Mus musculus: one gene and its partner. Each later gene encodes a partner of the first gene's protein in a complex. Links are inferred from orthologs where the notes say so. Each region holds a gene or a part of one and is shown on either strand. Other genes may lie near its edges. The genes, in order: Rasa1 and Arhgap35.

Region 1 (3,811 bases):
TAAATAGTAAATATTTCTGTTTAGTATCATTAAAAACGATTAAACTAGTAAACAATACCTCTTTAAATTCACTGTACTCTTCTTCTGGCATGATTTTTTCCATGGAGTATCGTGCTCGAACACGCAAAGATCCTGGTTCAATACCTTTTAGTGGTATATGGGAACTTAGTAGAAACCATTCATCTGTTGCATGTCCTTTCTGTAACCTGCTCAACTGGCAACGCATAAATACTACAAAGAAAAAAACAAATTACGATATTAGAAAACCACTACAGTCACATAATAAACTTTTCTTGATAATCCCTTTCTCTAGTTTTAAATGCTGTCCACTAAGCAGGTTTTCAACACTACCACAAAGTCAACACTTCACTTTTTTTTCTTCACTTACTGAAGGCCTGTTATGTGGCATTTTGTAGTAGTATGGGAACATGGGATTGTGTCTGACATGCATGCAAAATGTCTTAAGCTATCAAAGAGGATGCAGTTCAAGTGCTGCAACAGTGAATAGTACTTTTGGACATAAGGATGAGTAAATCAGCCTAGGAGAGTTAAAAGTCTCTTCCAAACAGAAAAGTATGTTGAGATAGCTAGTGAGGTATCAAGGGAGAGGAATGAAGACCACATCCAAATAGAAAGTATGACATTTTTCTGTGCCATTACTGCAATGTTATCATATAAGTAATGGAGAAAAACATTCTTTTAAAAAGGTATGCAATTACAGACTAAACATTTTATTCAGAGAGGTACATGTCATTTGATCTGGCATATTACTGTTTACCCTAAAACCCTGAATTGTAAGAAGACATAAACCTAAGTCACCCCGATGTGAATCGTTAGATCACACTGTCATCTATCTATCCTATCAAAAATGTACTGCTTAGAATAGGATCGGAGCATCTGCTATTAAGCACCTAAATTTTCTGTGTATGTTTTTTTTTCTTTATCTTTGCAGGTTTAGGTTTTAATCCTCAGCAAGCTAGACAAATACTCTACCACTGAGTTACAGCTCTAGTATTAACAGTACCTTTAATATGTGCAGTGTAGGAAATGAGGGAACACTAAAAAAGTAAAGACAATAAAAAAATAATCACCACTACCATTTTCTCATCTTGTTCTTTGGGAACAGGAAAGTGGGCATTTGTATATTTTAAGTTGTAAGGACTTACAGTACATACACTTTAGTCGTTTTGTTTTTTCTTTCCTTCATAATCCCTTCTGAACAATATTTAGAAGCAAACTGTTATATAGCATGTGTTTCACTTCCATTTTGACACATAAATTCTAAAAATATATACAATATGCTTTTATTACTTTAGAAAGCTTCATATTCAACTTACAGATATCTGGATCTTTGCTTTTCTTTGTTTTATTACTAAGTGTGATTTCAAATCTATTGATGTCAGGAGGAAGATCACTAAAGAAGCAAGGAAAAAAATTAGAAAAATGTTGTAGTATCAAACTACCTTATTTCTTTTTTAACAGTTCAGTGTGTTAGATTTAAAACAGGATTAATAATTCATTAAAACAAAATTAGGAAATACAGAAAGCATTTTGTTATTGTTTTTGAGTAATTCAAATATGAAAGAAGCTAAGAGAAAATACTATTAAAACACCTAGAAAACAATAGAAACTTAAACAGATTATATATAAACAGTAGGAGGAAAATGTAATTATGATTGTAAAAACTGATTGAATATGACAAGATATGACTTACTCAAAGACAAACTCCTCTGACCATACTGGGTTTTGCCCCTCCCTTGCATGAGTTTTTGCTACTTGGACGCTATTCAAGTAGATGTTACAATATGGATTAGTAAAGTGTTTTACTGGTAGTTTATGGGCTTCTTCAATATGTAAAACAAGGCTGCTGACCTAAAGAGAACACAAAAATTCATATCCAACATTTCAAGACCTGAATATGAGGCTTTTAAATAAAAAAAAAAAAGACTTTTTTCCTTAATATTTAAAAGAAAACATAAGCTTTGCTAATCAACTACCATCATCCAAATGAAAACTACAAACATGGAATAAACATGCTTACATGTAATGTACAGTATAAGCAACCATATGCTTACATTAAGATTTCACTATTCTAGTAAGAGTCTCATGGTTAAGGTATTCTAAGACACCAATTTTACCTTTTGACATTTCAAAAACGACAGTAATTCCAAGAAACTAACTTATCACCAGTTTGGGTGCCTACGACATGACCACTACTATTGTTTTCTCTACATCAGTTATGTCACCTCCTACAAGTCAGTCTCGGAGCCTCTCCTTTTTCATACATGTAGACGACTATATGTTAATGACTGGGAACAATCCATAGCCACACAGCAGAGGAACTGACATATCCAAGGGATTCACGATATTAGCTCTGATTTTACATGGACAAATATATGTGACAATTTCAGTATATTGAATACTTAAATCACAAATACAATTAAATGTCCTTGGGACAAAACCCAGGTTTTATATTACAAAGAGTATTTAGTTACCTAAAGAAACAACTATTTTATATACTTCCAATAAAATAGTATGTTAAAATCAACAAGCTTCCTAGAAATATCCATTTACAGCAAAGCTATAAAATGCCTGAAAGACTAAAACCTTTCTACTCTTGAGAAATGTTAGGAAAAAATAGCATGCATAGAAAAAAACAGCAAAGTAAAAAGAAAATTAATTATTACAAGTCAGACAAAATGAAGTTTCACCTGACGAAGGCGTTTATTAGATGTCCCTGGGCTACTTTTCCGTAAACTGCAAAATGCTTGCAGACCTTTCATCCAATCCTACACTCACAAAAAACATAAACAGAAACAAAGCATTAGAAAGAAGCAGACATAAGTTTATGCAATTATCAAATTATCTTTTTTATATTTATTATTTGCCATTCATACCCTGCAAGTCCTACTCTCAAAATATACTACATTATAATTTCTTTCTGTCCTACCAAAGTGAAACAAAAAACAAAATTTTTAAGTCAAAGGGCCTACTTAGGATCTAAAGTATTATGGTCATTTGGTTCATTCTAGGCCTGGCAGATGATGTTCTATTCCCAGACACGTTCATTTTTTGATCTAATTTATTTTTCAGAGTTTCCTCAGAAAACAGCCATATCTGTACAAAATACAGTTAAATACTCTGAAATATTACAACTGGCTTTCTTTTAGATTATACTGACTTATGGAAATGTAATGAAATGATTAGTTTCAACTGAATTCATAGATTACTTAATGGTCAATTTTAAAGGGCAATTTTCATTCCTCATAACACTTCACTGTACATGTGTCTGTGTGTATGTCTATGTGTATTAAAAAGAAAAAAATGCTAAAAACTATTAACAAAAACTTTGACATGGAGTTTCTCATTTATTAAAATACTACCACTTTAGACATGCTTTCATAATTCTGTACTATGGTAGTTTTGTATGCAAGTTAATAAGGAAAATTAGGCTAATACAAAGATATTAATAGTTTAGGAAAAAGTGATCTTACCTCTGCTTGTTCTGGAGTTTCTCCTGCAAAGTAAAAGATGTAATGTTCTTCACTAAAGTGCTGAACTACTATCTGAAAACAGTTTGGCCTTGGAACACATGCACACAACACAGGAAAAAAAAAGAAGAAAAATTATTTAGAAACTTATAAAATATTTACACCAACTTTTAAAAGCCACAAAGTGTAATTTAAGATTGTTATAATTTTTAATTTAGAGAAGTTGGTATTTCGTTCTACCAAATTAAAATATCATTTATAAATTTCAACATTTAAAATAAAGGGCAAAACTAATATTAAACTTCATTACAAAGAGAAAA
Region 2 (4,476 bases), on another chromosome or scaffold:
GGTCTAACCCAACCCCCAAAGATCACAGCATTAACCAAGAAGGCAAGACTACAGCTTCTGAAGACTAGAGCCCGTAAACACCAAATGTGGCCTCAGCAACCCCTGGGACATGCAAAACTTGAGAACTCAAATTTCCTTGGCCTGGAGTAAAACAAGAATATGACTTTTCAGCTGATGAAAAACCAAAAATAAACAAAAAAATACAAACTCATGAATGCTTCTGGGGGGAGGGTAGGGGCATACTGGTGTGTGGTGTGGAGGTGGAAGAGTGTAGAGCCTACAACTCGCTACAACTGCTCAGAGAGGCAAGGAGGGAAATGAGAAGAATAAAGAGTCAGGAGCAGCTGCAGTCCCCTTTCCCAAGGGCACAAAGCTGTGAGGCCCAGAGAGGGAGCAAAGAGAACATAAATGGGGCAATAGATGAATCCTATCCACCATCACTAACCTTGATGAGAGTCAGAAAAATGGGGAGACACTCCCAAGACTGCAGAGAGCTGCAACCAATCAATCCCTACCTCTGTAACAGATCTCAGGAGGACTTTGGAGGATAAAATTCAAAACACTCAGGACTCACAGAGAATCTGCAGCCTGGATCAGTGCCTAGAGTACCTCGGCTCAGTCTATCCTGGAAAATGCTGAGAGATGTATAGGACAGGGGTGTCCTCAATGGAGAACTTGTTGGTGGTGGGTGGGAAACCCTGAGAAGCAGGTGTGATGTGAGTTAAGTATTAGAAAGGGAGCCTGACAGGGTTGAGGAAAAAGGCAGAAAGCCACGAGGGAGAAAGGCAAGAAGCAAAAGAGGAAAGGAACTGAGAAACGGGTATCAAAAGAAAATGAACATCTAAACAAGAATTTGTAGACTCCAAGAAAGGGGAGACGGGGATAATAAGAAAGGAATGATACCTTCAGGTTAGAACTAAGGAAAAGGACTTAAAAGGAGGTGGAGGCAGAACAAGACAGGATCGGAGAATGAACAAAAAAAAAATCCAGTGAAAGGCTGAATGGGGGGGATGGAGGACTTAGAATTAAGAAGGACCAAACATAGAACACAAGGAGACTGGTGTTGAAGATGATCACTTTGACAGGGACAGCAACAGTAAAGTTCAAGACGATTCAAAACTATGTAGACAAATGGACAGCTCCAAAAGAGAGGAAAGAGCACCAAATAAAGAGAATGAAGGGGAAAAGCCGGTAGAAGAAAAGGGCAGAATGGGCAGCGTGTGAAGGATCAGGGTCAGAGTCATCTAAAGTGCAGAGAAACACCAGGAGCAAGGAAGACATAGGCAGCAAGTCCTAGGTGTAGATGAACTTACTGGTGATGGGTTTGTGGGGAGAGAGAGCAAATGAATGAAGCAGAGCAGAGGGGCATTGAAATAAAGGTGGGAAAGAGAGGAAACTCAACGAGAATAGAGGTGCAGAGAGAGTACAACTGAGTAGTCAGGGTTAGGGCAGAGGTCTGCTAAAGGAAATGGCAAAAATGAGACACCCTAAGGGACAGAAAAGGGGGTAAAAAGAAGAGGGCAAAAAGCCAGGCACCACAGGGGAGTGCATGCAAGATCAGAGCGCCTGCACAGGGGCAGAGTTGGCAGGCAGAAGGGTCTGGAAAAGAGGACAGGGTCTGAATGGCAAAATGGGAGCAAGCACTGAGAAGGGAAGGAAGCGAGCAAGGCGCATCAGAATCTGAGAACCGTAGGAGAAGGAGCTTAGGGACATCCTAGGAGGTGCAGAAGGTTCAGTGTTGCGACCCGGCAAAATATGGGGCAGTTGGGCCCAAATACAAGGAGGAATTATGTCCAAAGCCAAGACCGGGAGGGCAGTAGAGCAGTGCCTGTATCAACAGACCAATACGGATCTCCACGGAGGTGGAACCGCAGGTCCTAAAGGGACAGCTCCTGGGGATGCAAGATGTTCTACCGCAGGGATAATAACAGTAAATAGGCCAAAGAAGGAGAATGGGGATTTCCTCCCAAAAGTGATGCTAGCAGAAAACAGGTAAGGTAGAAGGGCCACGGATATTCAAAGTGAGCGTCAGAGGGGATACTGAGGGGTCAATGAGGAGGTAGACTGTCCCAGGAGCACAGCCGACTCCAGGAGGTGGCGAAGTAGGTATGACTGGGGGTCGGGGTGGGGGAGGAAGTGGGAAAGAAGACGGCTCAGAATTGGGAGTCGGGTATCTCGAGTGGAGGCTGAGAGACACCGAGATCCTTCACCGGGTTTGGTGGGGCGTGTGTGGAGGCAGACGCCGGGATTGCAGGGCTGCGGGGACACTAGCGAATAGGAAGGGCAAGGCGGGCCGCGCGGGCCGGGCCCGGGCATGCAGCGGCCGGGACGCGGGGACCGCGGGGCGCTGGGGGGGGCGCTCCCACCCCTCCCCCTCCGGCTCCTCCATTGTTCGCGGGCTCCGGGCCCCGCGGTCCCCGCCTTTCCCCCCACCCTTGGATCCCGCAGCGGGGCGGCGCCCGGCGCCTCGCCCGTCCCCACATTCCCCTCCGCCAGCTACGAGACACTTACCAGTCTCGGGGGCGCACTCAGCGCGGCCCCGGCCTCCGCGATCCCAGCCGCAGCGACGGCGGGCCCGGCGCCATGTTCCCCTAGCGACTCGTTCCTGAGGCGGCTGAGGCGGCGGTGGCGGCTCCGGCGGCGGGGGGCCGGGCGGACCCTCCCTCGCGGGCTCCCTCCTCCGCCTCCTCCACCTCCTCCTCCCGCCGCGCCGCGGCTCTCCCTCGGGGCGGGGGGCGGGGAGGGGAAGGGGGGAGGGGCGGGAACCAGGGGGAGGGCGGACCAGCCTCGCTCGCTCGCTCGTTCCCTCCCTCCCGCGCAATGGCGGCGGCGGCGGCGGCGGCGGCAGCGGCGTTGTCGCCTCCTTCCTGCGGCCGCCGCGGCCGTGCGCGTACTGGAGACCCTCTCGCAAGTGCGCGTGCGTTTCTGAGGGGCGAGAGATGCTGGGGCTGGGGTTGGGAAGTGGATAACGGCCCTGTGGGCCGAGCGCACCGCGAGGACCGTAGGCCGGGAGGACAGGCACGCGCGGACACCGAGGGCGCGAGTGCGCGTGCGCGCCTGAGGAAAACGCCGCTACCTCAGCGGCTGCGGCGCCAGATTTACACAGCGCGAGGACGGACACCCGCGAACTGGCACAGGAGGGCGCGGGGTGGGCTGAGTGCGCGTGCGCAGAGACGGCTGCAGCCTGCGAAGCCACCGAAGGGAGGGAGGAGCCCGCAAGGGGGGCGCGCACGGCGTCGCGCGTTCCAGGCTGCAGTACCCGCCGCCCCTCCCCACACCGCGCCGGCTCCAAGAGAAAGCCATCTCTGAGAGGCTTGGCCCGGCTCGTGAGGGCGGGGACTTAGGGCTCCATCCCGCTCGCGCGGGACCTCACTAACCAATGGAAGGCAGAGGGAGGTGGGTTCGCCTCCTGGAGCCGCAGCTTCGGGATAACGGAGGGGGTTGGGGGGACAGACGTAACGTGGGGTGGCGAGGCGGGGCTGTGAAGGAGGGAGCGTACCCAGCGAGTGAACCAATTGGGCGAGGGAAGGGGGCGTGGTCCTTCACAGCCCAACCCAGGCTCGCCGTTGGCCAGCCCAAAAGAGTGGGCGGGGACAGGGGGCACGTGCTCTTTCCCGGGCGCTGAAGAAAAACCTGTGGGCCAGGCGCGTTGATACAAGTTACTGGTGATTTCTCCCAGTGCTTGGTCTCGGGCAGAGGAAGGACAGGCCCTGCATTGCAGCCCTAGTCTCCCAAGTCAGCATCGGGCAAATGACAGCAAACCACATGTCACTTTGGGTGCTTGCAGGGGGAATGGTGATGTAAGAGGGCTCCCCTCTAACTCTGTATTCCTCTGGGAGCCCTCCGGAAGGATGGATTGTGAAAGACAGGCTTTCCCGGCGCCTCACAGAGTGTGGAATGCCTGAAGGAAGCACGTGTTTCCGATCCAGCCTTGCACTTCTTTCCAGGCTTTTCATCTGTAAAGTGGGATAACAATACTGAACTCCAAAGGGTCGCTTGGAGAATCGAATGAGGTATAATAGGCCCTATGGCCACGATTCATGGTGGGAATCCTCGAACTACTAGAACCCAGTAAAATATGGGCGATCTCCCTTATACATTAATATCTATAATAGCTGATGGATTACTCTTAGCAGAGGATTACCCACAACAATAGAAAAACGATGAATATATATTACGCTGTAATAAGAGAAATGTGGATGTGACCCTCCTAGCCACCGGTAACTGAAACATCAGAAAGCAACAGGGGAGTTAAGAGGGAACTACTGTGTCTCTAAATGAGGGTGGGGTGTAAAGGAGTGACCTACACGTATTGAGTACGCAGTAAGCATTGCTAAATAAAATTACATGGGCTCGACCAAATCCAGCAGCCAGAACTTCATGAAGTCAAAAAGGTCATGCTGTGGGTGATATTCCTGGAGTCTGCTTTAAGGTGGTTAAGGCAGCCAGTATGTATGTCTCTTTTGGCTCTCTACA

Evidence for each region.
Region 2: the proteins of Rasa1 (region 1) and Arhgap35 are in contact, whole or in part, in a crystal structure (PDB 8DGQ), measured with the Homo sapiens proteins. The link is inferred for Mus musculus from reciprocal best matches to the Homo sapiens genes RASA1 and ARHGAP35. Residues at the interface, in NP_002881.1 of Homo sapiens: Arg188, Arg207, Ser209, Arg211, Val217, Asn228, His229, Phe230, Arg231, Ile241, Gly242, Tyr256, Leu262, Leu263, Lys264, Lys358, Ser379, Asp380, Asn381, Ser387, Gln397, Arg398, Phe399, Lys400, Met411, Gly412, Gly413, Arg414, His425, Tyr426; in NP_004482.4 of Homo sapiens: Ser1085, Asp1086, Tyr1087, Ala1088, Glu1089, Pro1090, Met1091, Asp1092, Ala1093, Val1094, Val1095, Arg1098, Glu1100, Asn1103, Ile1104, Tyr1105, Ser1106, Val1107, Pro1108, His1109.

Annotation. Positions count from the first base shown.
Region 1 is NC_000079.6:85,226,894-85,230,704, forward strand, and holds part of Rasa1 (ras GTPase-activating protein 1), read right to left. Parts: intron 3,583-3,811; coding exon 3,495-3,582; intron 2,790-3,494; coding exon 2,712-2,789; intron 1,873-2,711; coding exon 1,715-1,872; intron 1,415-1,714; coding exon 1,338-1,414; intron 232-1,337; coding exon 59-231; intron 1-58. UniProt on the Homo sapiens protein: Inhibitory regulator of the Ras-cyclic AMP pathway. Stimulates the GTPase of normal but not oncogenic Ras p21; this stimulation may be further increased in the presence of NCK1.
Region 2 is NC_000073.6:16,611,961-16,616,436, forward strand, and holds the start of Arhgap35 (rho GTPase-activating protein 35), read right to left. Parts: upstream 3,034-4,476; 5' UTR 2,512-3,033; intron 2,107-2,511; exon of another isoform or gene 2,080-2,106; intron 1,993-2,079; exon of another isoform or gene 1,864-1,992; intron 1-1,863.